Tamandua tetradactyla: one gene and its partners. The protein of the gene in region 1 interacts with the protein of each later gene in a pairwise test. Links are inferred from orthologs where the notes say so. Each region holds a gene or a part of one and is shown in the gene's direction. Other genes may lie near its edges. The genes, in order: PGBD1, NR4A1, SCAND1 and ZNF446.

Region 1 (7,311 bases):
TTGGGGGAGTGCCGGTCCAAATTGCCCAGCTGGCCCGAGACGCCAAGCGTGGCGGGAGGGCCCCGCTATCCAACGTTCCCAGTCAGACCGGGGAGCCACGTGTGTGGAGGGGACCCCAGTCGCCAGCCGCCCCGGCCGGGAAAACGCGCGCCCCTCGGGTATCTCACCACAGCGGATTCTCCCTGCCCATTCAGCCGTTCCAGAATAGGGTATGCTGTCTTTTTGGTCTCTGTTGTGGCTCCGGGAGCTGTTTCCTATTGTTTCTGTTTCTTAAGTTGCTTTTCTGGAGGAGGAACTAAGACCCGCGCCTCTTACTAAGCTGCCATCTTCTCCGTCTGATAACCTTATTAATTACACTTCTTTCCCCCTGTTGGTCAGAATGGCATTGTTGATCCCATGGTACCAGGGCCAGGCTCATCCCAGGGAGTCTCTCCCATGCTGCCAGGGAGACTTTTCCTCTGGGTTTCATGTCCCACGTAGTGGGAAGGGCAATTATTTCCCTTGCAGACTTAGAGTCAGAGAAGCCACATCTGAGCAACAAAAGAGGTTGTCCGGAAGTAAGTCTTAGGCATGCCTGTAGATAGGCTAAACTTCCCCCCTATACATGTAAGCTTCACAAGAGCAAGCCTCCAGATCAAGGGCTTGGCCTATTGATTTGGATGTCCCTAATGTTTGTCACAGTATTAGATAATTTCCTAATGGTAAAGTTTAATATTTCCATATTTTTTCTCCCTTTCCTCAAGGGACTTTGTCAGTACATTTTGATTATCTGCTTACTGTATTTTAGGATGTATACAGGCATTACATTAAACTATACAGGATTAAAGGCCCTCATTCTTATTCTGGGTTCCCTGTATTTCAGTTGTTCAAGTGAGCTGTCCAGACAGGTTCTTATATTATGTACTACAGAAAAATTTAGGTTCCAGACAAAATAAACCTTTTTTCCTTTGGTGTCAAAGAGTAGGTATGGTTCTAAAATGTAGACAATGTCTTCTTTACCCCTGTATTCTGAATTACCTTAATCCCAATCTGATCAGCTTCATTCTTATCTCTAAATATCAGGTTATATATATATAAATATATATAACATATATAACATATATATATTTATATACATATATAAAATAGCCTCTTAAAATCCAGAAATAACAATTACCACTCTGGACTGAATTTGACTGCTGTAGGAGCTTACAATCTAAATGAGATAATATAATATTTGCTCTTTTGTTTCTGGCTCATTTTGCCTCAAGGTTTTGGTTTTTTTATAAGTCCATTTTTGACAAAAAAAAATTATCAGCTAAGGAGTCTTACTATGTGCAGGTTCGTGAATACATAATAGGATGTATTTTGACTCTGATCAGGCGTAGTCACTAATCAGGTGAGTCCCTCCCTCCTCCAAGTATACACCGATTCAAAGACATGTATCAGCAGTGGGTGGATAATACTTCATTCTTCTTCAGACTCACTCGAGTAGTTATAATCAAGAATGCTAAATCCCCAAGTATCCAAGGGCCTACTCCAAGGGATGGTGGTGGTGCCATTTTCTGAGTTCTTTTTTGTTATGCTGTGTTTGAGAGGCTTTTATAGGGTGTCTAGATACCAAATAACCAGAAGGAAACATGTATCAGGCACTCTTGATAGATCTGGACTGAAAAATAAGGAAATCCTCAGAATAAAGACAGTAATTGAAGTCACAAACACTCCTAACTTCTGGCCTGTCTCTCTCCTTTTGTTCAGTGTCTTACTTCTTGAAAAGAGTAATTTTTGCTCACTCTCCATTTTCTCATTTACCCATGTCAATCTGGCTTTTCTCTCCATTTCTCTACTAAAATTGCTTTCAAAGAAGTCATCAGTGACCTCTGTGATTTTGAATCAAGTGGATAATAAGTCAGGTCTCAGTTTAATTTACTTTCTTATAGCATTTCCCACTCTTGATCATTGCCGTCTTATAAATCCATTTATAAATCAATGAATTCCTATTCTTCACAATTATTATCTCATTTACCTCAAAACATCTCTGTGAAAGAGTGAACCCTGATGTAAACTATGGATTGTAGTTAACAGTATAATAATTTGCATCAGTGGTAACAAAGGTACCACACTAATGCAAAACCATTCTCTCTGTAAAACCTTTTCACCATATTTATACCTGACCACCTTTCACTTTTCTTTTAAGACTTAGAAGGATTCACCTCCAAGCTTTTTCAGATCTGCTGTGAGGAATTAGGTATCTTACCTCTGTGCCTACTAGCATCCTGTGCATACCTTCACAGTAAAACTCAGTGCACTGAATTGCAATTGCTTGTTTCCCTGAGGTGTCCTGAGAAGCAGAGAACTGTTTGAGGCTAGGGGATTGTCTTTCACCTCTGTGTCCCCAGCATCTAAGAGATTCTGGTAGGTAGTAGACAGATTGTAAATGAGATGAGTTATGCAAATCCTTGTGTTCTTTTAGTTAATTCTATTGATTTAGCTTTAGCTCATATATCAATAGTATACAGTCAGTTCTTATTATTTGCAGATTCCATATTTTTGAATTCACCAACTTGCTAAAATATATTTGTAATCCCCAAATCAATATTCACAGTGCTTTTGAAATCACTTGTGGACATGCATAAAGAGTGAAAATATGAGTCACCCTGTACACGTTCCAGCCAAGATCAAGCAAGGTGATGCTTTCCTTGTTCAGTTCTCATACTAAAAACGTTTTTGTTGTGTATTTGGTACTATTTTTTTTGTATTTTTTTAATTTTTGCTTAAAGTGGCCCTGAATGAAAGCTGTCTTATGTCCCTAAGCACAGGAAGGCTGTGATGTACCTTAGAGAAAATACATGTGTTATATGAGCTTTGTTAGGGCATGAATTACAGTGCTGTTGGCCATGAGTTCAATGTTAATGCATCAACAATATATATCAAATAAGGTGTCTTTAAATAGAAGTATGCATAAAACAAGACTATGTGTTATTTGGTTGATGAGAATATGGTGACCAGAGGCTCACAGGAACCTAACTCTGGATTTCCCTTAGGAGAAATGGTTCAGTTTTTACTAATTCTCTGTTCACAACAACTTTATAGACTACAACTACTGCAAATAATGAGAATTAACTGTATTTATTTTGTGTCTTTGTGTCTTTCCCCCCAACTTTTTGAGAAATTTCAAATTTACAGAAAAGTTGACGTACTACGAGTAGTACCTATTTACCTTCTCATTTAGCAGTAGTAGTGAATTTCCTGCTATATTTGTGCACTCTCTCCACACCAACCCACTCATACTTTTTTCCTGAAACATTTGAAGATAAGTTTTAGCATGCATTCTCCTGAGAATAAAAATATTCTCGTATTTACTACAAAACTGTTATCCCTCAGAAAAGACTAAAAAGAAGTTGGCAAACTTTTTCTTTAAAAGGCCAGACAGTAAATTTTTTTTGTATTTGCATGTCATAGAATTTCTGCACCTACTTAACTTTGCCATTGCAGTTCAAAAGCAGACATAGATAGTATATAAACAAATGGGTATAGCTTGTGCTTCAGTAAGACCTTATGCTCAACAAGATTTGAGCTGTTTTTGACTTGCTGGACCATAGTTTGCCTACCCCAAATCATAATATTCAAATTTCCCTAATTTATAAAATATATATATATATATATATATATATATTTCACACATTGATTGCATTTAGTTTTCTCTGTAATTCTAGACCTGTACCCTCTCCATACCTTTTCTTTATTTTTGTGGAATTGTTGGTTTTGAACAGTCCATGCCTCTTGTAGAAAGGGCTACATTCTGGATTAATTCAAAAGCTTCCTCACTATTAAATTCATGTCAAGCCTTTTAGAAAAATTGCTACATAGGTAATGAGGCACATGATGTCTGATTGTCTTGCTACTTGTAATTTCCTAAGTTTGATCATTTGGCTAAGTTTGTGACTGCCAGATAATTCCAGTTTTTCCTTTTGTAACTAGTAAGAATCCATGTGGTGATACTTTGATACTGCAGGAATGTCCTGGACCCCTACTCCATTCACATAGTGGTTTTAACAATCATTTGTGGTACTTCACTAGATGATTTACGGCTATGAAATGATGAGTTTGTATATCTATTATTCCTTCTATATTAGCTGGCAATCTTCTATAAGAGAGTTTTGTCATTTTTGTATGTGCCTTTTTTTAGGAATGGTTGTTTAGAAGAGATTAAAAAGGATAGTAGCTTTTGGAAATGCATCAACCCAAGAAGGGAATATTGCTGTTGTTATTACTACTGTTATTACTGTTTCTGTAACTCTTATTGTTACATGTTTAGGACTATCCCTGAGGAGACAATCCAAAGAAAATTCTCTAAAACGGAGAAAGCAGTTTAAAGCTGGAGATGGCAACAGTAGAGGTGAGTGCTCGCCCCCTGGCTCCCCAGAATCTGAAGGAGGAGGGGCTTTGGGTAGTGAGGGAGGATCACTGCTCTGCTTGGGAACAGGAATTCAGGCTGCAAAGAAAAAGCAAAGACCTTGGTCAGGAGATGTTGTGCAAACAATTCAGGCAGTTCCACTATGAAGAGACCTCAGGACCTCGACAGGCGCTGAGCTGGCTCCAGGAGCTCCGCCTTCTGGCTGTGGCCTGAGATCCCAGCAAGGAGCAGATCCTGGAGCTGCTGGTGCTGGAGCCGTCCCTAAGCATCCTGCCCGAGGAGCTGTGGGCCCAGGTGTGAGAGCATCACCCAGCGAACGGGGAGGATGCAGGCACTGTACTGAAAGGTTTGGAGCCAGAGCTTAGAGAAGCAGGACAAGAGGTGGTAAAGGTCAGGTTTGTTCTTTCACATAAAAGCAGGAAGTGAGACCTCTGACCAGTGGGAGAATTGCTAAACTTGTTTGTTTAGTTTCTTTCCAGTTTGGCTGTTCATTTCTGGGGGTCTCACCTCAACCTTATCTGTTCTCTGCTGTGAGGAGGCTGAATTGAATAATTTCCAGATTCCTCATCTCCTTTTCTTTGCTCCTTTAGGTTTGTCTTTGTTCTTTTTTCCAACATTGAAGTGTTTTTCTAAAGAGCAGTTCCCTCTTAAGCCCTCCTGTACCTAATTGTCCCTAGGACCCAGACCAGACAAAGAAACAGAAAATACCTGTGGAGGAGATGGCCCCTGTGAGAGCAATGCAGGAGCAGCAGGTCCAGCCGAAGTGTGAAGTTCAAAGGCCTGAAAAAGAGAAGGGTGAGAAATGGAGAGCATCTTCTGTTGTGTGAGATGTGGTGGCCATTGCGTTCCCCACTTGAGGCCGATTTAGCACCCTTGATACTGTGTTTGGAATCAGGTTTATTGAGGTATAGTTTACATACAGGAAATTTCACCCTTTTTAAGGGTACAGGTCAGTGAGTTATCACAAATGTGAAATGATAAGTCATATGATCATGACTGGAGCAGATTTGGAAATCAGATAGGGAAGTAGCTTGCTTTTCTTCCTTTTACTATAGAGATAATTTTTCTATAGTATTTCCTTTTGCAATAGAGAGGATAGAGAAAGTAGTGTTAGTTTCTCACAGAAGGCAAACAATCTCAGCCACAGGCTATATTATTCATTTTCTTATTATCTCCTTAAAATTATTATAAGTGGCTACTGTCTTTTATTTCTAAATGTCATCAGGATTTTTTTTCTCTACTATATTTTCTTTGTCACTAAAATTCCTCTATCCAATTTGTATTCCTTAAATTTTTCTTTTCTTCCTTCTATTCTGATAGAGCCCCACTTCTCTTTTTATTTTAGTGTCATCATAGTACTCCCATTGATGTTAAACTTAACCACCATAATTTAAACACAAATTCAGTAAGGTGGCTCCCATGTTTAAAATCTTTCAGTGCTGGGTAATGTTATTTTCTCTACTTTTTTTGGATGTTGGAAAAATTCTATACTAGAAAGTAAAAAACAAAAGTAAGGGGAAAAAAACACCACCTTCAGAGACTCCCCGTTGCCACTGACCAAGGCCTCACATAGCATGGGCCGCTATTGGCTCCCTACCCAGCCTTGTGTCACTAGGGTGACCAGTTTGTCAAGACTGTTAACGTCCTGGGAAACCCCTCAGTTCACACATGCTCAAACTGTGTTCCCATCATGCTGAGGTTCATTCCATTTCCCATGTGCTTCCTATCTCTTCTGAGTCATTGCTGCCTTGTTTCTTTTGTCTGGAACACTTTTTCCTCACTCTTCCTGGCTAATACATAGTCATTCTTCAGGACCTATCTTCGATATCGTTTCCTCTGTCTTTCCTTAAGATCCTCAAGGCTGAGTTAGTTTTTCCACCTATGTTCCTAGAGCCCCAAGATTTCTCCTGTGGTAGAACTGATTATATTATATTATAGTTGCTGGTTTGCTTTCCCCCCTCCCCAGGCATTACTTCCTCTTTTCTCCCAGCAGGGATTTTGTTTTGTTTCCTGAGTCAGTCCCTGGCCTAGAGTAGACACTCAGTAAATGTCTATTCAGTAAATGGCTGGTATTATATATAAAACTGTCCTTTACCTACTAGCTACTTCCCTATTTAATTTCCACGTCTGCTTCAAGGGTTACCTTCTGTGAGCCTTCTGAGTAAAGTAGCTGAAAGAGATGGACTTAACTTTTCTGAATAATCTTGCAGGAATTTATGCCATGTAATGATAGGTATGTATTTTAAATATGAAGAATTAATGTGATGACACTATATTCTTGAAAATATTCTGTATCTTTTGGATCTTATTGAATATTGTATTTTATGTCCAAAGTTCAGGTTAGTTTTTAGTTTCAGAGTTCGCTTCCCTTTTTGTTTTTATTCCCTCTCCTTAACTCATTCTTACCCTCATGAGGCAACTTCATTCTCAGTGATAAAATTAGTCTACATTTCTTCATTTTCAGTTAAAGGGTTATCCCTTTGCCATACCTTTCTTATGAATTCCAGTCCTTAACTAAGCTAGCTTTTCTACTCTCCTTGTGACAAACCATTTTCAAAAATGTACATCTGTACCCTTTAAGATGGTTTGTTTGTTTGCTAGCTTATGTATGTGCATGCATGTATCACAAAATAAAAGGCAACCTCTGTTAATTTCTTATGTATCTTATATAGTTTATACAGATGCAAGCATACATATTTTTCACTTTTCAAACATGTTTGATTTTAAACTTTCCCTCCTAGTTTATAGATTCCTTTCCCTAAGCCTAAATAAAACATGTGATTGGTGGTATATCTTAATATTTCAGATAAGGAGATGAGGACTGAGAATAGAAGGCTGGTTGTAGAGACAGACTTTTGTGGATCAGTGAAATCATCTGGGAAATTATCTGAGCCCATAGAAGCTCATTATGAGGA
Region 2 (7,553 bases), on another chromosome or scaffold:
TTTCCAAAAAGTGCTCCAGTCAGGTGGGAGAGAGAAACCTTCCAAGCACCTCCACCCTGAGAAAGGTTCTTATTGGAAGTGACTGTGCCTGGAGACTATGGTCAGTGGAGGTGGGCTTCCCAGCCCTTTTGTCAGGGTACTCTGTGCATTTCCTGCACTGAACACTCCTGTGCTTTGTGGGAAGTCAGATGCCAAGGGGACAGCAAGGAGGGAGTAGCTAACCCTGAGTACTTACCATGTAAAAAGCATCTATCTCTGCAGTTGTTCAATCCTCCCAGTAACCAGAAAAGGTGGATAATATTATCATCCCCATTTCATGGGTAAGGAGACTGAGTGAGGCTCAGAGAAGTTAAGGGACTTGCTCTACTTACAGACAGTAGGAGAAGCCAGATCAGTGACTTCACCTCCTAGGCCTTGCCCTTACTAGCGTTCCCACATCTGGGACTACTTCTGTTAAGGGGAAATTTCGCCTTCCCAGGAAGTCCCCTTTTTCTTTAGCTACCTTCTTGCCTGGGAGCTGGGTGCCCTGCTAGCTGGGTTCTTTGCTCTTGGGGTGACAGGCAGGCTAAGAGACATTGGTGGGTGTGCCCAGGGCTCAGAGGTTGAGGTTCTATCCTCTCAAGCCAGTCAATTTGCTGTGTGACTTTGGGCCGCCGCGGAGCTTCTCTGGGACTCATTTTTTCCACTTCTTCCTCAGGGGACGCCCCAGGTAAGTTTATTTGGGTAACTTTATTTATACCCCGGCTCGGCTCGGGGTTCAGCTGCCTCGGGAGATGTTAGCAAGGCCTCAGAACCCTCACTTGAAAAACAGCCTCCCCTACCCCGCCCCCCGGCCGCAGCGAGCCGGGTTATGTAACAGCGTGTGCAATGTGTGTGTGTTGGGGTGGGGGGTGCCGCGGGGCGGGGCGCTCGCGGCTATTCCGGGCGCCTCTATTTTTAGCCCCATTGATGAGGCTGCGTCGGCCGCCGCCGCCGGGATTCCGGAGACGTCAATGGGCGCGCGTCACGGTCCCCGCCCGCCCGCCCGCCGGGGGGAAGGCGCGCCGAGGCTGGGACTGCGGCGCGGGCGGCCGCCGGCTGCGGGGGCGGGGAGCGCGGCGGCGGCCGGAACTGCTGGGCGGGGGGCTTCCCGGGGGCGGGGGGCGCCGAGAGGCTGCGGCGCGGTTGTAGGAGCGCCAAGCGGCGGCAGCGGAACTGGTGGGGGCCCCAGCGTGGTGCGCGCGACCCCCGGCCTCCCGGGATGGGCGCCCCTGCAGTGCAGAGCAGCTCCCGGCAAGCTGGTGCGCGACCCCGGAAAGCGGGGGTGGAGAGGCGAGCGGAGCTCGCCCTGCAAGGTGAGGGGGACAGCTTGGAAAGGGATAAAGTGGTAGCAGAGGGAGCATCGGGAGGTCTGTGCGGATGCGCCGGGGTGGGCTTGGGGCCACGCTGGGAGTCTTGCTTGGAAGCCGGGAACCGGGGCTGCACTGGGGGGCTGGATTCCCAGCGGAACTTGCTGGCTCCGAGTCAGTTCTCAAGTGCGACGGCCAAGGCTTTCTCTCCCTAGCCCGCCAAGGGTGGGGTTTGGCTCACGAGGGGCGCTGGAGATGGCCAGGCGGGAGAAATTCCTTCCATTTCCCCGTCGGCCGTGGAGAACGGGTTCCAGGAGGTCGGGAGCTCGGCTGCCAGGAGGCCGAGACGGGAGGGACCGGAATTGTCCCGGACAGCTCCTTCGTGGGACTGAGTCAGGACACCCAGGCTGAAGAGGGTCTTATGGAGTCAGGAGCGAATTTGGGATTCGGACTCGGGTCCGGCATCTCCCAGGGCAGCGCTTTTTTCTGCAGCAACCTCCCTCCCGACCTATACTTGGGGGTTCGAGCGGCGCTTCTAGGCAAAGGTTGCAGTGTGTTGAGGCAAAGGCACCGGTCCTTGACTTCAAATCCCCGTTACGCCTCCGTTTTTAATAGGTGGCTTGGTGGGCAGAGAGAAATGTTGCAGAAGAGGCACGTCCCGTTTACAGTGGAGTGTTAATCTGGGTTTGGGGGCTGGTATTATGGGCATGTTGGGAAAATGCAGACTGGGCAGAGGTGGGTAGATTCAGATCAGTTATAAGCTAAGGATGCTGATGGATTAGGAGACTGAAATCAACCTGAACAGGGTGGCCACAGGCTTGGTCCTAGACCCACTACAAGTGAATATTTAGATCAGTGACTTGGGGTAAGAGGTCTTAGGAAGCCAGCCAACTTTTGTATGACCCAGAGCTGAGAGGAATGACGAGTGTACAGTAGGATAAAATCAAGATTCTGAATTACCGCATGAAAATGGGCCAGAATTAACAAGATGAATGTGACTGATGCTAAATATTTGGGCCTGGGCAGGAGTTCAGAAAATCAGCTCAGGAGTGCAGGCCTGATGGGAGGCCTGGCTCAACTGTTCAGCACCGCAGGGCCCGAGTTCCTACCAGTTCCGTGGGTGGGCACTATCAAACTGAAGCCTCTACTGGGTACACTGGTGGTGGTGGTGGCCGGGCAGTACCTGGCCCTGGCATCCTCTGTCGGGCTCCCTGGGTTCTAATCCCAGCTTTGCCAGTTCCTAGCTATGTGACGTCAGGCAAGTTGCTTAACATTTCTGTGCCTTAGTTTCCTCATCGATAAAATGTGTATAATGATAATCCATTCCTCAACATTGTGAGACTGAAATGAAAAAAATGCATGTAAAGTGCTTAGCATTGTTTCTAGCACATGGTATTTGACAATATCAGCTGCTGTTATAATTGTTCATAATAATAGTATTGTCATTTCTAGGTGGGGACATTGACCAATGCAGAGATCGTGTCCAGAAGTCCACCAGGGCTGCAGAAGGTCTACCCTGTTGTGAGTGGGAGTTGGAGTTTAGATAAGAAAAGACTCAAATAAGTTCTTGATAGGAAGAAAATGAAGGAGGTTCTGGCTGGGCCCATGCAGGGGGCAAAACTGGGATTTGGGGCTGGGGGCTTTGGAATTGGGGCTGTGACCCAGCAGAGGGAAGAACCCTCCGATCTGCCCCAAAGTGGAAAGGACAGCTTTGTGAGCTGTGCACAGGAGGTTTCTTAGTGGGAATGACTTCCCCACCACTTTGCAGATGGCTGGCCAACTGTCCTCCCAGCCTGGCTCCAGTACAGGTGTTTGTGGCTCCTGCCCCCATTTACACTGCTATTGACTGAGCACCTATCCATCCTGAGCTCTCCTTTAGAGACCAAAGACTCCGTGGTGATTGAGACAGACAGGTTCTTATTTACCTTCTAGTTCAGGAGACAGAGGATAAATAAGTGAACAAATAAACATTAGTCCTATGGGAAAAATAAAAATGATTAATAGGGTAGGAGGTAAGGCTTCTTAATATAGTGAAATGGGAATAGGAACCTGATGGAGCCAGTCATGCAGACATTGGAACAGTGGTTTTCTTGGCAGAGGGAAGAGCTTGTGCAAAGGTCCTGAGGTAGGAAAAAAAGCCCATGTGACTAGAGCACAGTGAGTGGAGAGGAGATAAGGTGATGAGGGGACTCTCATCCCATTTTGGGGGCATCGCTTTCTCCTCCTCCAGTTTTCAGTCTACCCTCTGTACAGTATTGATTATAACTGATCTTGGTTTATTCTATGCCTGTCCCCCCTAGGGTAGAGGTAATTTGATCTTCTTAGATTTCCTACTGTTCATGGCACCCTGCCTGGTTCACAGTAGGTTCTCAATAAATGCTTGTGGAATGACTGTTGGGAAGGAAATTTTGATCTGTGGCAGGAGATGGTATCAGGTGGTCGTGCTAAGAGGTTTTGAATCACTTTCTAGGCACTGTTCTCAGATACACATGATGGAGACCTGAGCTCTCAGGTTGGGTCTGGCTGTCCCCGACCTGCTCCCTTCTCCTCCAGCTGCAGGCAGGCAGGGAGGAAAGGGAAGGTTTGGGGAACCCCTAGGCCTGATTGGGATGGGGAAGAATGATATTGTCATTCTGGGAAGGAAGGGCAGCCCATGGGCTGGGGCAGGTCTGAAATGTGATTTCGATTTCAGTTTGGATTGGAAGCCCTCTAGATGTTCTAGACTGCCCTCTGCTCCCTCTTCTCTGGTGGCCTTTACTCCCTGCTCCCCACTGCATCCACAGGGACATGGAGGGTGAGGGGAAAAGTATGGGCACTGCGGGCCAGAGGAGTCCCCCTTAGCCTGTGGACCCTGGAGCAGAGGTAGGGAGGGGGTGGAAGCCCATTGCTTGCCCTCTGCCCTCTGGGTCCCTCAGCCTTGCTCCCTCTTCTTCCCATCGTGGAAACACCTACTTCCCTTGTCACAAACTTCATCTTGGCTTGAAAGGCAACTTGATAACAGTGAGGGCCAATCCTGGGCCTACCCTGCTCTCACTCTGGGCCCCATCTGGAAGAGGAGAGGGCTAAATGAGGTTGGGAAGAGGGGAAGGGAGGTAGGGCGCCTGTGGGGTTGGCTGGTGAGCAGAAGGTGGGGGTGGGACACACAGTTGGCATCAAGCGTGATGGAGAGGCCAGGTGTCCAGGAGTGGCTGGCAGTGGGAGCCTGGGTCTGGTGGTGTAGCTTTTGTGTGTCCTTATTTAATTTATACTAATCACGAAGCTAATATTTATATAGCACATATGTGTACTCAGTACTGTTCTCACTCTTTTACACATATTAACTCACTTTAGGACTGACGACAGTTCTCTGATTGTCATTTTGACACACGAGGAACCTAGACACAGCGTGGTTATATAACTTGTCCAAGGTTACAGGAGATGGAGCTGGGATTTCAACCCAGGCAGTCAGGGATCCAGCATCTGTGCTCTTAACCACTCTGCTCTCAGTTAGGCCTTCCCATTGGGGACTGGAGTCCATCACAGAGGTTAGAAGGCTGGGCTGCCAGGAGACAGGGGCATGGAGCTGTGCCCTTTGGAGGCCCTGAGGCTTTGGGGGCCAAGCTAAAGCCCCTGAAGGAGAGAGGGATGTGTCCTGTTCTGTCGTCACACTGTCACCATTTTCTCTGCCTACAGAAGGCCCTTTTGTGCATGCCACGGGGCTGGGAGCTAGATTGAGGCACCCTCACTCAGGAGTGGGGTAAGAGGCTGAGGGGCTGCGCACTGGCAAGGATCTATGGCTCTGAGGTACCCCAGGTGCCATCAGCAGCAGCTGGTCACACCTCATATCCCGGGAGCGCTTTTCCCAGAGTGTGGGCCCCCAGCCCCTGACAACTAGCCCAGGCGGGGACCTCGGGCTGGCTTGTCTGCCCCTGTGGCTGAGTCCTGCTGCTGTACCCGCTCCTGTGCTTCCTGGCTGGGCTGTCTCCAGGGAATGCGCCTGCTGGATGGGTGGTTTTTCCTTTCTGACATTGACTCTTCCGTAGGCCTCCACCATGCACAGGGGCTAGCCCCGGCTCCTCCCTGGTGTCCTGAATCTGCCTGCCAGGCCCCGAAGGGATGGTTTGAGTGTTGGCCAAGGCCTGTTGGTCCACTGAGGGTGGTAAGTGCTCTACTGTTGTCATTTGTACACCCTTGGGCCCCCTGTGCAGTTGGGTTTGGGGGGCAGGGGTGGGTGTGGAGCTGCCTGAGGTGGATGTGGTTTGGGGGGTGGAGGGGGAAGCCCTGCAGAGGTGGCAGGCACGGTGCTAAACAGCATCAGGAGATCTGATTTCTTCTGTGGTGGGAGTGCATGGGGGCGAGAAAAGGGGAAGCCTGATTTTCTCAGCAGGATAGGCTGGGAGGACTCTGGGGCCAGGTGCCACAGACGGGTGGTAGGGAGGAGCCTGACAGGTGCCCCCAGCATAGCACCTGCCTGGTTCCAAGAAGCTGATGGGATGGGGTTGAGGAACTTGGGTCTGGGCTGGGAGTGTAGTAGGGCAAAGCTGGCAGAGGTGGGGGTGGGGTGGGGGCATCTGGCCTGTTTCCATGTTGTAGACCTCATTCCAGAGGGAGTGCATGAAGGGAAGGCTGAGATTCCCCTCCCCAGAAAGATTGCCGACTGTCCCCCCTTCCCATCATGGCAGGACTATAGGGCCTGCAGAGTCCGTGGTATGAGGAAGTGGCCTCATGGATGGGGGGAATCTTGGTGGGATCATAGCTGCTAACAAAGGGCAGGCACAAACCCTCCACTATTCATCCGACATCCCTGAGAGGGAAAATCCCAGACTTGTGGCTATGGCTAGAGGAATCCTTGGCTCTCTTGCTCACCCCCTCCTCTTACAGATGAAGAAACTGAATTACAGAGGGGAGAAGGGACTTTTCAAGGTCCCACAGGGCATATGTATAGAGCGCAGCCTAGAATCCAGGTGTCCTGGGTCTCAGGGCCAGCCTGAAAGCCCGGTGTAATGGTGGAGGACACATCTTTATTGCTGAGGGTGCTTCCAGAGAAGGAGCAAGCTAGTCTGTCGGTGAGGGTGAGGGTGAGGGTGAGACAGTCCACCTGCTGTTTCCTTGGGGGATCTGAGATGCTGAGATGGGGCTAAAGGAACTGAGTCTTGACGGCCACCTGAGGGAGCTGGGAATTCAACCTGGCACAGGGACAGGGACTCTGGACAGGGTCCTTGTGGTCCCTTTCCTCCTTCCCCTGTACTGAAGAGCATCACTGAGCAACAGAGCCCTCAGGACTGAGAGCCCTCCAGATGAAGCAGGAGCTGGCTCAATATCTCCTCCCCCAACCCCTCCAAACACTGTTGCTTCGTGTGAACTTGGTGTTCAATGTGCAGAGGGAGGAAGACAGGGTGTCCGGTCTGAGCCTAGGTGGAAGCGGGGAGGCAGGGTCTCCTGTTCCAGGGGCTGGGCTGGGTGTGCACCTGGCCTCTGGCTGGCAGCAGGTTCTGCACCAGCCACCTCAGGCCAGGGCGGAGAGAGGAATTACGGTCAGTGGGAGAGGCAGGTGTCTCTGGTCAGCCAGAGATGTGGCCTTGGGGAGCACGTGAGGGAGGATGACAGCAGTGGCCAGGCACTTTCCCTCCGCTGGCCCCCACCTCTGCCCCCAGGCCTGACCTGGATTCCCAAGCTCCTGGCTTTCCCTCCGGCTACACAGAAGCACTGGGTGGGCAGAACTTCTTGTGTTTACCCTGTTGTCTGGGTGATGGTGGTGATTGGATGGAACTCCCGTGCTGGATACTCTGCCAAGGCCACCCCAAGGGGCTGCTCGCAGGGGCCCTGGGAGTGTTTGAGCCGCTGGTCTTGTGACGTGGGCACCTGTCTGCCAGGCCTGGGCATGGGCCCAGGGTCACGCTCACACCGGGGCTCCCGTCAGCTGACTATTTTGAGTTCTTGCTGACCTGGGCCAAAGTTAGGCCCTAGCCAAGAGGGCCCCGCGTTGGCTCCCCCCCATCCCCAGAGGCCGGCTCTGGTTTCTGCTATATAAACAGAAGAGGACATACTGGCTTGGAGAGAGCTCCACGTCCAGACACTTCTCAGCTGGTACAGGGCAGCTGGGGAGGGCAGTCACGTCTCTCTCCACAGGGCTCCCCGAGGCCACCAGGAAGGGCCCCCAACCGAAACCAGGATTCTCCTTTCCTGTGGTTGCCCAGGATCTCTGAAGGTCAAATTGTGAGGAGGAAGCTGGTGAGTCTTGGAATG
Region 3 (5,994 bases), on another chromosome or scaffold:
GTTAAGAATAACTGAACTGGTTTTTTGGATTCCCATCTTAAGGCCCCCTTCCATTCTAACTTTCCACGATTCTAACAGATCACTAGCATTCCATGATTCCAACAGAATAGATGGTAGAAATAGATTAGAGATCTAACATTCCATGATTCCAAATATCACAAGGGTTCATTCCCTTTCTGAGAGGATTAGAATTCAGTTTTTCAGCTTGGAATTCTAGGCTCTTCATGATTTGACCTCTACTGATTTTCTAATCTCATCTTTCACACCCTTCGCCAGACTCCAAACACTCCCAGTCTAGCCTGCAGTTTCCACAGTTCTATTCCCTCTCACTCTGTGCCTTTGTACAGACAATGACTTCTACCCGGATTGTTCTTCTTGAGTCTCAGCGCGAAAACCTCCTCTCCAGTGAGGCCTCCCCATACCCCTCACCCGGCAGCAGTGTGGCATGCTCCCTTAGCTCTGGATATTGTTGGCTGTTACGACCCAGCAAATAGGACTGTTGGTTTACTTAGTGCAGCGTACTGTCTAAGGGCCCACTGCCCGAGAACCAGGCAAGGTTTAAGCCAACAGGCATAACTGACACTAGGATCATGTGCTCCCACCTCTGAGAAGAAGAGAGAGAAATATCAGCTCTAAGAAAAACAATTACTATTGCATTTACTAATGCAAACAGCACTCTGTTTCAAGTAACAAGGGCAAGTTGTAGGGACTAAAGTCAACTGGAACCAAGTATCTTGTCTAAACGACTCTCTACTCAGCTTTATCTGATTGTTGGTCAAAAAGAATGTGAGTCCAGTGTGCTCAGCTCTTTCACTTTTTCAAGTAAAGCTGGAAATTCAGATTTGTATGTGAATCTTTTAAATTGTTAGTAACTAAGTTTTTAAAAAGTTAAAGACCATGTCTTGGAGTGGCTAGAGGGAAGCACCTGAAACTGTACAGCTGAGTTCCAGTAGTTCATGTTTCTTGAAGATGATTGTATTAATGATATAGCTTATATAGTGTGACTGTGTGATTGTGAAATCTTCTGTCTGATGGCTCTTTTATTTAGGATATAGACAGATGAGTAAAAAAAATATGGATAAAAATAAACGAATAATAGTGGTCAAAGGTTAAAATAAATAGATGGAAATACTGGTGGTCAGTGAGAGGGAGAGGTAAGGGGTATGGTATGCATGAGTTTTTTCTTTTTTCTTTCTTTTTTCTGGAGTGATCCAAATGTTCTAAAAAATGATCATGGTGATGAATACACAAGTACGTGATGATATTGTAAGCCATTGATTGTACCCCATGTATGAAATGGTTGTATGTTAAGAATGTTTGTATGTTTACATCTCAAGATTTATCAATAAAAAATATTTTTTTAAAAAAAAAGTAAAGACCCATTTCGATGACTTTCAAGATTTTGGGGCCATTCCATGAGGATCCACTTCTATCGGAAGTAGCACATCCAATGTGAGGGGCAAGTTTTATGTCAGGGCTACTGCGTGTTGATGGTTGTTCAACATGCCCACCCATCCTGCAGAGTTCAGAGGGACAGTGCAGGTCATACAGAACCTATCAATCAGGACCTCTGTCCCTTTCTTGCCCTCAGTTTCCCTATCTGTAAAATGGGGACGTAAAACTTATGTGAGTCAGCTGTCAAACAGAATTCAGTATCATTTACCAAAAGGCTGTCAAAATTATGTACTTTCAGAAACAAAAGGACAAATACTGTATAGTTTCACTGATATGAACTGACATTAGTAAATAAACTTGGAATATTTAGTTGGTAACAGAGACAATCAGGAGATACAAATAGGGTAAGATATTGGGTAATTGGAGCTGAAGGAATACAGATTGTGCAACAGGACTGAATATAAAAACTCAGAAATGGACAGCACAATACTACCTAACTGTAATACAATTATGTTAAAACACTGAATGAAGCTGAATGTGAGAATGATAGAGGGAGGAGGGCTGGGGGCACAAATGAAATCAGAAAGAAAGATAGATGATAAAGACAGATGGTGTAATCTAGGAATGCCTAGAGTATATAATGATTGTGACTAAATGCACAAATTTTAAAAATGTTTTTGCATGAGGAAGAACAAAGGAATATCATTACTCCAGGGTGCTGAAAATAGATGGTAACTGATATTTTAAAATTTCAACTTATGGGTGAGACTAAAGCAAAAAAAAAATGTTTATTTGGTACAAAATTTATATTTTGACTAGTGCATTTCCTAATATAACTTATGCAGATAGCTTAATTGAACACCGTAAGTACACGGAACCTTGTGTAGGACATGAGATTTTGTTGGTTTGTCCAGAGTGATGCCCCGATGAATCCCAGAGTGATCTGAGCAGTGAGTGGAAAAGTATTTGCAAAGTCTCCTTCGGGGAATGGTGAGAACGAGGAAAAATTCAACCTCCCCAAGTTGAATTCTTGATCTTCTCACAAGCAGTGTGGACAACCAAAGCTATAGGCTGAGCCCCAGTATTGGGGTTTGTTCATATGAAACTTAAGCCCACAAAGGATAGGTCTAGCTTACTTAAAATTAGGCCTAAGAGTCACCCTCAAGAGAACCTCTTTTGTTGCTCAGATGTGGCCTCTCTCTCCAGCCAACACAACAAACAAACTCACCATCCTCCCCCTGTCTATGTGGAACATGACTCCCAGGGGTGCGGACCTTCCTGGCAACGTGGGACAGAAATCTTAGAATGAGCTGAGACTCAGCATCAAGGGATTGAGAAAAACTTCTTGACCAAAAAGGGGGAAGAGTGAAATGAGACAAAGTGTCAATGGCTGAGAGATTCCAAACAGAGTCAAGAGGTTATCCTGGAGGTTATTCTTTTTTTTTTTTTTTTTTTTTTTTACATGGGCAGGCACCAGAAATCAAACCTGGGTCCTCCGGCATTGCAGGCAAGCATTCCTGCCTGCTGAGCCACCATGGACCACCCCTGGAGGTTATTCTTACACATTAAGTAGACATCACCTTGTTATTCAAGATGTAATGGAGAGGCTGGAGGGTACTGCCTGAAAATGTAGAGCTATGTTCCAGTAGCCACGTTTCTTGATGATGATTATATAATGATATAGCTTTCACAATGTGACTGTGTGATTGTGAAAACCTTGTGTCTGATGCTCCTTTTATCTACCTTGTCAACAGCTGAGTACAACATATGTAATAAAAATAAATAATAGGGGGAACAAATGTTAATTAAAATAAATTTAGTCTGAAACGTTAGTAATCAATGAAAGGGAGGAGTACGGGGTATGGTATGTATAATTTTTTTTTTTCTGTTTTTGTTTTATTTCTTTTTCTGTTGTCTTTTTATTTCTTTTTCTGAATTGATGCAAACGTTCTAAGAAATGATCATAATGATGAATATACAACTATGTGATGATATTGTGAATTGCTGATTATATATGTAGAATGGAATGATCATATGCTAAGAATGTGTTTTTTTCTTGTCATTTTTTTTAATTCTAAAAATTAAAAAAAAACTTAAAAAACAAAAATTATGTGCTTTTACCTGGATCATCTCATTGATGACTCAGTCACTTCTATGAGGAAAGTTGTGTTACATCCACATTTTACAGATAAGAAGTCTTAAGCACAGAGATAGCAAGCAATTTACCTAATGAAAACCACAAACATTTAAAACGTTCTTACTTTCCATTTAATCTCTCAACAACTCTGTTAAGTAGGTACTATTGTTGTCTGGGGATATAAGGCAAATAACGCAATGGGAATTCAACAGGGCAGCCTGACTCCAACACTAGCCCAGCGCTGTTCAACAGAAATAGAATGCAAGCCATATATGGAATTTCAAATTTTCTAGTTAGCCACATTGAAAAAATAAATGAACAGGTGAACTTAATTTTAATAAAATCGTTTATTTAATCCACTACATGCAAAGTATTATCATTCTGACAAGTAATCAATATAAAAAAATAGTTAAGGTCTTTTACCTTTTTCTTTTGGAATTAGGTTTTTGAAATACAGCATGCAGTTTACTTTACAGCACAACTCAGTTTGAACTGACTATATTTCGAGGGCTCAGTAAACACACGTAACCGCTGTATGGGGTAATGCGTTTACGGTCCACTTACTAGCCTGAAACTTACTGGTTTTGAGGACACGCAAAAATTGTGGTTCTTACATATATTATGTCATCCTTGCAATGGGGCAGGTGCTAGTGCCGTCCTCCTCTGAAGAATGGGGAACTTCCGAGTTAGAGGACTTACCTGAGCCGCCAGCGGGTAGGCGGCGGGGGCGGGACTCGAACTCCCTGTCCTAAGCCCCGACCGTCGGCCCGCCCCGCTCACCCACCGGCCACCAAGTGAGGAGGCGCGCCCGCCGGAGAAGGCGCTGGTCTTTCGCACGCCCAAGTGGTCGTAATCGCTAAAGATCCCGAAAGCGACGTCTACGTCGTCCCCTTCGGACTGTTCCTCCTCCTCTTCTATCTCCTCTTCCTCCACCTCTTCTTCCACCTCCTCCACCATTTCCTCGTCTTCCTCAGAGGAAACATCATTTTGCGGAGTACACAGCACGCTTCCACTGGCTCTGTCCACCGCGGTCGCAGCCGCCTCCGGCGTCGACCTGCGAACGCGAGGTGGCGCCCCATCCCGGAGCAGAGACGCGGCGCTCGAGAGGTCGAGCGCCGGCAGGACCATAGAGAAGCCGAAAGAAACTTCCGTTTCCGGTTGCCCCGCGCTTCGCCGGTACAGGTAGGTTCCCCGCGCTCCCGCGTCCGCCTCCCTCCAAAGTGGCGCGGACTGTGCCTTTACCCGAAACATCTCTCTCTCTCTACCCCGCCCCCGTACCGACGCAGTGCTGAACCCACAGTTGCCACACAAAGAGTGACGCCCAGGGCCGGAGTCATGGCGGCACCGTTGGAGAAGCAAGGAGCCAACCCGAGCTCGGTCACGGAACGTAACTTGGCGGCTTCTTCTCCGATTCCAGTGGCCTCACCGCCTGCCCCCGAGCCCTCCAGCCCCAACGCCGCACCCCCCGAAGCGATTCCTAGGCCTCCCGCGACGGCCTCCGCGGCCTCGCAATTGCCCATCGCGCCTCAGTCCCCAGGCCCGGTGCCGCCTGCCCAAGCCGCACCGCGTTCCCTGCCGAGGCCTGGCGGCGCCGGCTTCGGCCCGGAAACCTTCCGCCAGCGCTTCCGGCAGTTTCGCTATCATGATGCGGCCGGCCCACGGGAGGCATTCCGGCAGCTGCGGGAGCTTTCCCGCCAGTGGCTGCGGCCGGACATCCGCACCAAGGAGCAGATCGTGGAGATGCTGGTGCAGGAGCAGCTTCTCGCCATCCTCCCCGAGGCGGCGCGGGACCGGCGGCGGGGCCGCAGCAGCGATGTGCGCATCGCGGGTTGAGCCACCGGACTGCGGACGGCCGGACCTGGCGCTCCCTGGACTGGAATCATATCAAGGTCCGGGGGCCTGGCCCTGCCTTTCCACCCCGCGTTAATGAAAAACTGGCTTTGACAATTCTTGTGGTCTGGTGTGTCTTTTCGTTTGTCCTTTACAGGGTTTATTTTAGCGAGTTTATATCTCCACCTTTCTAACTAATAGTGAAACAAAGTTGGGAGCCCACGAGACGGCTTTGGTTTCCTACCCAGGGGGCCACCGTTGGCTTTTGTGGTGCCCTTACATGTTGGCTAGATTTCAGGGATTGTTTTTCCTGTGCTCCCTAGGGCCCCACAAGGTTGTGTAATGAGGATTAGGAACAGGCTCTTGAGTTACATTTGCCTTAATATATCTTACTAACTAGAATTCCACTTGAAAAGATAAATCATAGGGATAATAAATCCTGTTAAATAAACGATTATGAGATCCTGGAGGCAACGTGGTTTGAGTTATTAAATGATGACTGGCTACCAATTTGCTCCAGACCCTTTGCTCCAGACCCACGTGCTTCCCAGCGGCTATTGGGGTGTTTTAATGTGAAGCATTTTACTGCAAGCCCTTCTGGAGAAAGACTAATGTTTATGAGTTTTGGGTTT
Region 4 (7,191 bases), on another chromosome or scaffold:
GCAAGGCCTTCGCCAAGGGCGCCGTGCTGCTCAGCCATCGGCGCATCCACACCGGCGAGAAGCCCTTCGTGTGCACGCAGTGTGGCCGCGCCTTCCGGGAGCGCCCGGGCCTCTTCCATCACCAGCGGACCCACACCGGCGAGAAGCCCGCGCGTCGGTCCCGGGCCAGGGCGCCGCCCAAGACTCCGGCCCCCGCCACTGAGGCTGCGCAGGCAAGGGGTGCGGAGCAGAGCTCCGCCGCAGGCTTGGCCCCGGGCCCGAAGCCCCCCGAGGCCTGACCCCTCCGGACCGAGCCCGTCCTCTGCGGGGCACCACTTGCAGCGTGGAGGCCCCGTCCGTCCTGCATGCTAGCCTGGGACCCCCGGCCCTGGCGCTGACCACATTAGTGGAAGGTGGGGCCAGGGCCTGTGCTTGTGGTTCTCTGCACTGGACAAACAGTCCAGAAGAAGGACTCCTGGGGCCTCAGCAGCGGCCACATCTCTCCCACTCTGCTGTTCCAGGTCAGACTCAGGATCAGCCTTGGCACTCTCACGCCCTGATCGGAGGCGCTGGCGTTGATGCAGGGGAGGTGCTGGAGAGCAGACAGAAACTGGGAGGACTTGCCCCAGTGGGGGACCGCCTCCAGAGACACGCTCCCGACACCCTTCCCCCGGTGAGCCTGGGCACTGAGCCAGGTGGTGGTAGCCCAGTTTGCTTCCTGTGGTCTGCAGCTGCTGTGTCCTAGCTGGGGGGGCCGTAATCTCAGGCAGTGAGTGCTAAGATCGAGAGGGGAGGGGCAAGACTAGGGTTCACAGCTTGGAATGGATATAAGCTGTGATTTTTTGGTGGGCAGTGTTGATGGCTTTGCAGAAATCCAGCTCCAAGGTATGGTCCAGAGTCTAAAGATGCTCCCTTAATAAAGGTTTCTTTATAGCTCTGTGTGGACGATAACGGCCTGACACCAGTTTCACTAGCACAATGCAGACATTAAACCAACATTTGCAGGCCTGCCACTGATATGTGTCATTGTCACAAAGGTTCAGGGGTTCGGCTTCGGGCTAGAGAGGCCCCGGGGCCTGGTCTGCTGCCTACGGAGGGGCTAGGAAGCCTGTGTTCCTTCAGTGGCCATATGGGCCGTGGGGTGGTGGCCCTATCGCCGCCCCTCTCCTGGGAATGAACCATGATTCAGCCCCAGGGCAAGGGAGAGAGTGGTGGGCAGAGAACCGAGGCAGAGCTGCACATTGCTTGGTGCTGATGGAGTGGAGTGTACCTGTGAGGACTGCATAAGGCTGACCCCAGCTCAGTGGTACTCATGACTCATCAGCCCCAAGACTGCAGAACCATCCCTGTCCACAAGGAGCACTCAGCCTGACCCCTACCTGCCAGCCAGGCCAGACCCACCTGCCCCGTGAATCGCAGCCCTTCAAGGAAAGTGGGCCCAGCAGTGGGAGGCACCTGACTCCCCAAGGCTCCGGGAGTCCCTGGCCCACCATCCTGTCTCCCACGCCCTGTCTAAACCTCAGTCTTGCCCACCTCCCACCCCGGTCTGGCCTCCCTCACTGGGCTGGTCCCACCAGCCTCCATCTGCACAGCTGTGAAATCTAGAGGAGCCCCCACCCCTTCTGGGGGCAGAGGCACCTTATAGATCAGAGAGCAGGTCCTAGAGTGAGTCATATGGGAACTTTTCTGTGCCTTGGATGGAAGCTCCTGAAGCCAGGCCTTTGTCCTCAGTCCTCCTTACCCTCTGTCGACATCTGGGCTGGGCTCAGCTGCCCTTTCCTCTCTCCCTACCAGCCACCAACCCCCGAATGTAGAGCTCCTTCCTGTCTCTGCACTTCTGCCTTTGCTGCCCCTTGGCTTACCCAGGTTAAGTCTGTGTCCACTGCCTCAACTCCCAATAGCACCCATGAGCACCCGCCTGCTCTTTCTATCCCACTTGTGCTTCACCTTCATGTCTTGGGTCCTCAGTTGTCCCCCCCATACACACCTACTCTTGTCAGGTTGGGCCCTGACCTGCCAGGGTGGGCCCTCCTTTACCCTGAACAGGCCTTTACTGGGAAAGTGTCCCTGGGCTTTCTGGGTCATGATGGTGGGCTGAACACATGCCTCTCACTCAGCTCAGAAACACCTCTAAAACCACAGAAAAGGGAGTGCTTAAAACACAAGCCCATAAGTTTGAAGATGATGGAGTCAATGGCAATATCATTTTGCAGCTGGAAGCAGGTGGGGGAACTGTCACTGATTTAGAAAAAGCCAAGTACTGAGTTGGCGTTAAGGGGAGTACAGGGAGGTCCCACCAGGCAAAATTCCAGAAGGCTTGTGAACCAGCAGCTCCAGCACCTCAGGAATAGGAGAGGGACTACCAACAAAGAAGACAGGGAGAGCTACTTGAGAAGCAGTTCCATCTCCGGCTCTCTCCCCACCTGGTGGACGTGGAAGATGCATTTCTGAGGAATCTGCATAGTGAAGAGGAGAGATCTCAAGATACTCCTGTTGAGATCCTCCCCCCACCCCCACCCGGGAGAGTTCACCCTGATAACTCCACAGGGAGGCTCAGAGTTAGCAAGTCCCACCCACCCATGGACTCAGCACTTCCCATCCGTGTTTAAGATCACTGCTTTTCACCATAAAGCAAGCAGCCAGGGAGTTCCAGGAATCAGAGGAAGCCAAAACAGACAAATGCAATGTAGGATAGGACAGATAAACCATGGTTCAGCCATTTGATATACAGGTGAAAAAAGGATCCCATCTCATAGTCAGATTTTAATTATGCACTGAGATAAACTAGTTTTAGTCCCCGAAATAAATCAGTCTCTCACCAAAAGTTTGAATGGAAATCTCCATCTTTCTCTTTGCAGGGCTGATGTCCAGAGACATCAGAGACTGTGAGGGATAATCACATGACCGGGGTGCTCCTTTTCTGCCGTTACAGACAATACAACCTTGATCACCTTGGTAATTCTGCAAGTTTAGTTTAGTTTAATTTTAGTTTTTAAATAACTAATGTGTTCTCATTTTGGAAGTCAATCTCCCTAGAGTCAGAGAAGCTCATCTTGGCAAATAAGTGTCTTTTCTTTTCCAAACGCATTTGTCTCTAAGTCTTCCCTTAATTGCAAAGAGCCTGTGTTTCCTACAGTGTCGTATTCACCGAAAATAAGTTAGACTTTAAATGTTTATTAAAAATGTATAAATAGAGAAACAAAAACAAAAAGTAAAGCATCCCAATCTTAACAGGGGCAAATTGAGCGGTAAGATTAACTTTAAACCTTTCCCCATTTTCCAAAGTCAGTGAAACAATGTTGTTTTTACTATTTTGTTTTCTATTACTTACTTATTTCTTATTATTAGGTTTTTGTTTGTTTGTTTGCTTTGCATGGGCAGGCACCAGGAATCAAACCAGAGTCTCCAGCATGGCAAGCGAGAATCCTACCAGTGAACCACCGTTGCACCGTCCCGTTTCCACTATGATTTTGGAATGTCATGTATTTGTTAATGTCCTGAAAGGTCGTGGCCTACGTGAGGGCCAAGGTAGTCGCTGAAGCAGTGCATGGGCGCCCAACCGAGTTCCCTCACATCCATGTGGCACTCCGCGGGGGGGCGAATAAAGAAGCCCAGCGCCTCCTCGCCCTACGCTGGGGCGGAGAACCTCCCGGGGCGACCGAGAAACACCGCGGCCAGGCCGGTCTCCGCAAGCCCGCTCCACCTGCCCCGCGACCCACATGCCCCCGAAGCTGCGCTGCAGCCAGCTCGGGCTGTCGGGAACGCACGGGACGCTTTTCGTTTCCGCGGAAACCGCGGTTGCCAAGGAGACGCTAGGGCGGGGCAGGAGGAGCGCCGGCTCTGATTGGGCAAGCGTCAGACGCGCTTGCCAATCGGCGCCGGGCCCGTCTGGCACGTGCGCAGCGTCCCAAAGCAGCGTCCGGGTCGGTGTTGGTGAGGCCCGGGGCTCGGGGGCGCGGGGAGAGAGCCGCCGGAGAGGGATGGGACTCCCAAACTTTGTGACCTGCAGGCCCCGCGTGCACGCGCCTCTCAAGCACGAGCGGGCTCTAGAAATTCGCGCCCACCGGCCAAGGCCAGGCCTCTGCGTTCTACCTGAGGCTCATAGGAAATGTAGTTCGAAGGGGGCGGGGCCTTCGAGCAGGCGCGGGATTGGCCAGAGCGCTGTCGCCATGGCAACGGGCGGGAAGGGCGGTGCGCTTGCGTAGAACGGGTGGTCGGGCAGTCCCGGGTCCGGGAAGTGGCGGTGGAGCGCCGGCCCCCCGGCTGAGGTGAGCACGGGCTGGCTGGGCGGCGCGGCCGGCCCACTCCCCCCGGGACTCTTGGCTCGCGCGCTCCGGAGCTCCCTCTTGGGTCGCGTCGCGCCCTTTTCCAGGCCGTCCCTCCTCAGCCCTGGGCCCCTCTCCGTGACGACCAACCCCCTCCCCGGTGCTTCGGGCGCCCTCGGGAGCAGAGCCCCCGGAAAGGCCGGGCTGGGGGCTCCTCTGGCTCATCTCTCCGCCCCCGTCCGGAGTTGGGCGAGGGGAGAGTTTTTTAAAACTCAGCTTAAAAACTGCACCCATCCCTCCTTTTAGAGCAGAGCAAAGACTTGGTGGGGGTGGTTCCCGCCCGCAAGCCCTCTCTGCAAGTCCGGGTGCTGGGGCTGACCCAACCCCACGCCAAGCGTGTGGCTCTGATTTGTTTTGCTTTTGCGTTTTCACACGCACAGGCCTTGCGAGTCACCCACAGTTCACGTGTTTACAAGAACGGCGTCCCGTCGTCTCCCTGGGGGCACCTGACTCTCCAGCCCGTGTTCCATATTCTGGCTGGACATTCAGCCCCTCAGGATGCCCCGTTTGGGTTGGCATCTCCGGGCGCCACTCCCACCGCTGCCCTGCCGGCCCGCACATGCCACCTACTGCCCCCTCCAGCGCCCAGTCACTCTGGATCTGCCTGTCCCTCATTCTCTTGCCCAAATATTCACTCTCCTCCCTGTTCTGCCCAACACCTTCTGAGGCTCCTCAGCCCAATCTCCAAGGCCGGTGGGGACTCTCCTTGCTCACCTGCGGGCCATTATTTCCCAACAGTCCATGGTTGTACTGAAGCGTGTGCAATTTCCTGGAAGCTCCCTGGACACCTTATCCTGGACATACGGCCCCAAGGCTTTATTTTTTCTCTGATTCCCATGACCCCCTCCCGTCCACGAAGCCTCCCAGGCCTTACCTGTGGCCCCAGGGTCCTCTTTCTGTCTTAGTCTCAGATCTCTGGGCTTGGCCGGGAGCCCATTGCCTGGCATCCTGACCCTTCCCCTTCTGCAGGTCCCACCTGGTGACTCCAAGAGAGACCCGCAGCACAGAAATGCCATCCCCCTTGGGTCCCCTGCGCCTGTCCCCAGTGGACCCCATGGCCACCCTGGAGGAGCGCGAGGCCGCGCGCCTGCAGTTCCGACACTTCCGCTACCAGGCAGCGGCAGGTCCCCGCGAGGCCCTGGCCCAGCTGCGCGAGTTGTGCCGCAAGTGGCTGCGGCCCGAAGCGCACTCCAAGGAGCAGATGCTGGAGCTGCTGGTGCTGGAGCAGTTCCTGGGCGCACTGCCCCGCGAGATCCAGGCCTGGGTGCGGGAGCAGCACCCAGACAGCCCCGAGGAGGCCACGGCTCTGGTAGAGGGGCTGCAGCATGACCCAGGGCAGCTGCTGGGCTGGGTGAGTGTGGCCAGTGCTAGTTTTTTGGAGGGACAGACCGAGGTCAGGGGCCCTGTGACTCAGTTCTTCTTCCACAGATCACAGCTCATGTGCTGGGCCTGGAGGTGCTCCCAGCAGCCCAGAAGACAGAGGAACCCCTGGGGAGCCCCCACCCCTCAGGGATGGTGAAGCCTGCTGAGGCAGCCCCCCGGGAGGGGACACAGGGCACAGGGGAGAAGCCCAGCCAGCTCGGAGTGAAGGAGGAGCCAGATGCCAACCGGCAGGACATGGGTGAGGGAGCCCTGCGCAGGGGCTGGGGCCTCCTGGATGGAACGGAGTAGGGGTCCTGGGGAGGGACATAGGGTTGCTGCCCACCATGTGGCTGGCACAGGCAGTGCCTTTTGCCTGGCCGTTGGGGAAGGCTGGAGTAGTAGCATCAACACCTGCCCTCCCCTGCGCTGTCATGGGCAGTCCCTACCCCTCTGCCCAACTTGCTCCCTAGGACCTCCAGGGCCCCCGCTTCCAGTCCGGCCTTCTGAGGGATGTGTTGGAAGCGAAGAGCCAGCCTCTGGGTCTTGTCTCCCACCCAGGATTCAGGTGAGTAGCCCTGGGGGAGGTTCAGAGGTCCCAGGTAGGAGGAGTATGTCCCTGGTGGCCGCTCCACATCCTCCCAATTCTCCTGGACCCCAGGCCAGCAGCTTTTGGTTCTTCGCTGCCTGGGAGTTGGGTCACTGTCAGCAGGGACCGCTGTCAGCAGGCCCTTGGGGACAGGGAGGCAGGCCAGCAGCCTCTCTTCCATGGCAAAGGATTTCAGCACAGGCAACAGAAACTGGTTAGAGTAGCTGGAACTCCAGTGGTTGAGGCGGGAGGCTCTCAGGTGCCTGGCGCTGTGCTGGCATCGAGGGGGGTGAGGTGACTGACCCGGTTGGGAATTCTGCATGGCAAGCACAGAGATGCCACCCTTCCTGGGACATTCTCACAGCCGGCCCTTTCCTGGGGGCTTCTTTAAGTCTAAACAGCCATAGCAGCCCCCAGGCCCAGGAGCGCTTGCCACCTGCAGAGAGGCTTGGAGGGAGGTGGCGAGTTGCTGGGGCCTGGGGGGGTCCTGCATGTCCTCTGACTTGCCCCTGTGTGTGACTGTTGAGGCTGGAGTGGCAGGAGGGGTGGGTGGGGCTCGCCACATTGTCCCTGCTGCCTGGGGCGCTGGCGGTCCCCAGGGCTGGTCTAGGGGTCTTCGGTAGAACATGGGGCGAGTGTAGCCAGGCGGGGAGGTAGGACCACGTGTCTGGGTTCCAGCCTTAGCCCTCTTGCCCCCCGGAGAGCCCAGCGCGGTGTCCAGGTTGGGATGGGCTGGCTGTGAGCAGGGTGCCTTCCGCAGAAGGAGTGGAGCCAGTTGGATGCCTCGCAGAAGGAGCTGTACTGGGACGCGATGCTGGAGAAGTACGGGACGGTGGTTTCCCTGGGTGAGGACCCCCAGGCCGTGTCTCCCACCTCACCGCCTCATCCTGGCCCGGCAGTCCCCGCCTGTCTGCAGGCCCCTCCCACACTCTCCTGGGC

Evidence for each region.
Region 2: the proteins of PGBD1 (region 1) and NR4A1 interact in binary tests that used the Homo sapiens proteins (3 or more experiments, as listed by UniProt). The two-hybrid records come from large-scale screens. The link is inferred for Tamandua tetradactyla from reciprocal best matches to the Homo sapiens genes PGBD1 and NR4A1.
Region 3: the proteins of PGBD1 (region 1) and SCAND1 interact in binary tests that used the Homo sapiens proteins (3 or more experiments, as listed by UniProt). The two-hybrid records come from large-scale screens. The link is inferred for Tamandua tetradactyla from reciprocal best matches to the Homo sapiens genes PGBD1 and SCAND1.
Region 4: the proteins of PGBD1 (region 1) and ZNF446 interact in binary tests that used the Homo sapiens proteins (3 or more experiments, as listed by UniProt). The two-hybrid records come from large-scale screens. The link is inferred for Tamandua tetradactyla from reciprocal best matches to the Homo sapiens genes PGBD1 and ZNF446.

What each region holds. Positions count from the first base shown.
Region 1 is NC_135331.1:194,888,196-194,895,506, reverse strand, and holds the start of PGBD1 (piggyBac transposable element-derived protein 1), read left to right. Parts: upstream 1-4,295; 5' UTR 4,296-4,363; coding exon of another isoform or gene 4,364-4,378; intron 4,379-5,073; coding exon of another isoform or gene 5,074-5,191; intron 5,192-7,202; coding exon of another isoform or gene 7,203-7,311. Other genes in the region: ZSCAN26 (zinc finger and SCAN domain-containing protein 26), read left to right, coding at 4,364-4,378, 5,074-5,191, 7,203-7,311.
Region 2 is NC_135333.1:113,415,489-113,423,041, forward strand, and holds the start of NR4A1 (nuclear receptor subfamily 4immunitygroup A member 1), read left to right. Parts: upstream 1-4,548; 5' UTR 4,549-5,466; intron 5,467-7,084; exon of another isoform or gene 7,085-7,436; 5' UTR 7,437-7,538; intron 7,539-7,553. UniProt on the Homo sapiens protein: Orphan nuclear receptor. Binds the NGFI-B response element (NBRE) 5'-AAAGGTCA-3'. Binds 9-cis-retinoic acid outside of its ligand-binding (NR LBD) domain.
Region 3 is NC_135327.1:16,517,490-16,523,483, forward strand, and holds SCAND1 (SCAN domain-containing protein 1), read left to right. Parts: upstream 1-4,818; 5' UTR 4,819-4,867; coding exon 4,868-5,365; 3' UTR 5,366-5,479; downstream 5,480-5,994. Other genes in the region: CNBD2 (cyclic nucleotide-binding domain-containing protein 2), read right to left, coding at 4,232-4,783. UniProt on the Homo sapiens protein: May regulate transcriptional activity.
Region 4 is NC_135342.1:176,419-183,609, reverse strand, and holds the start of ZNF446 (zinc finger protein 446), read left to right. Parts: upstream 1-4,167; 5' UTR 4,168-4,247; intron 4,248-5,273; 5' UTR 5,274-5,313; coding exon 5,314-5,655; intron 5,656-5,732; coding exon 5,733-5,925; intron 5,926-6,136; coding exon 6,137-6,231; intron 6,232-7,012; coding exon 7,013-7,097; intron 7,098-7,191. Other genes in the region: uncharacterized protein LOC143658493, read left to right, coding at 1-278. UniProt on the Homo sapiens protein: May be involved in transcriptional regulation.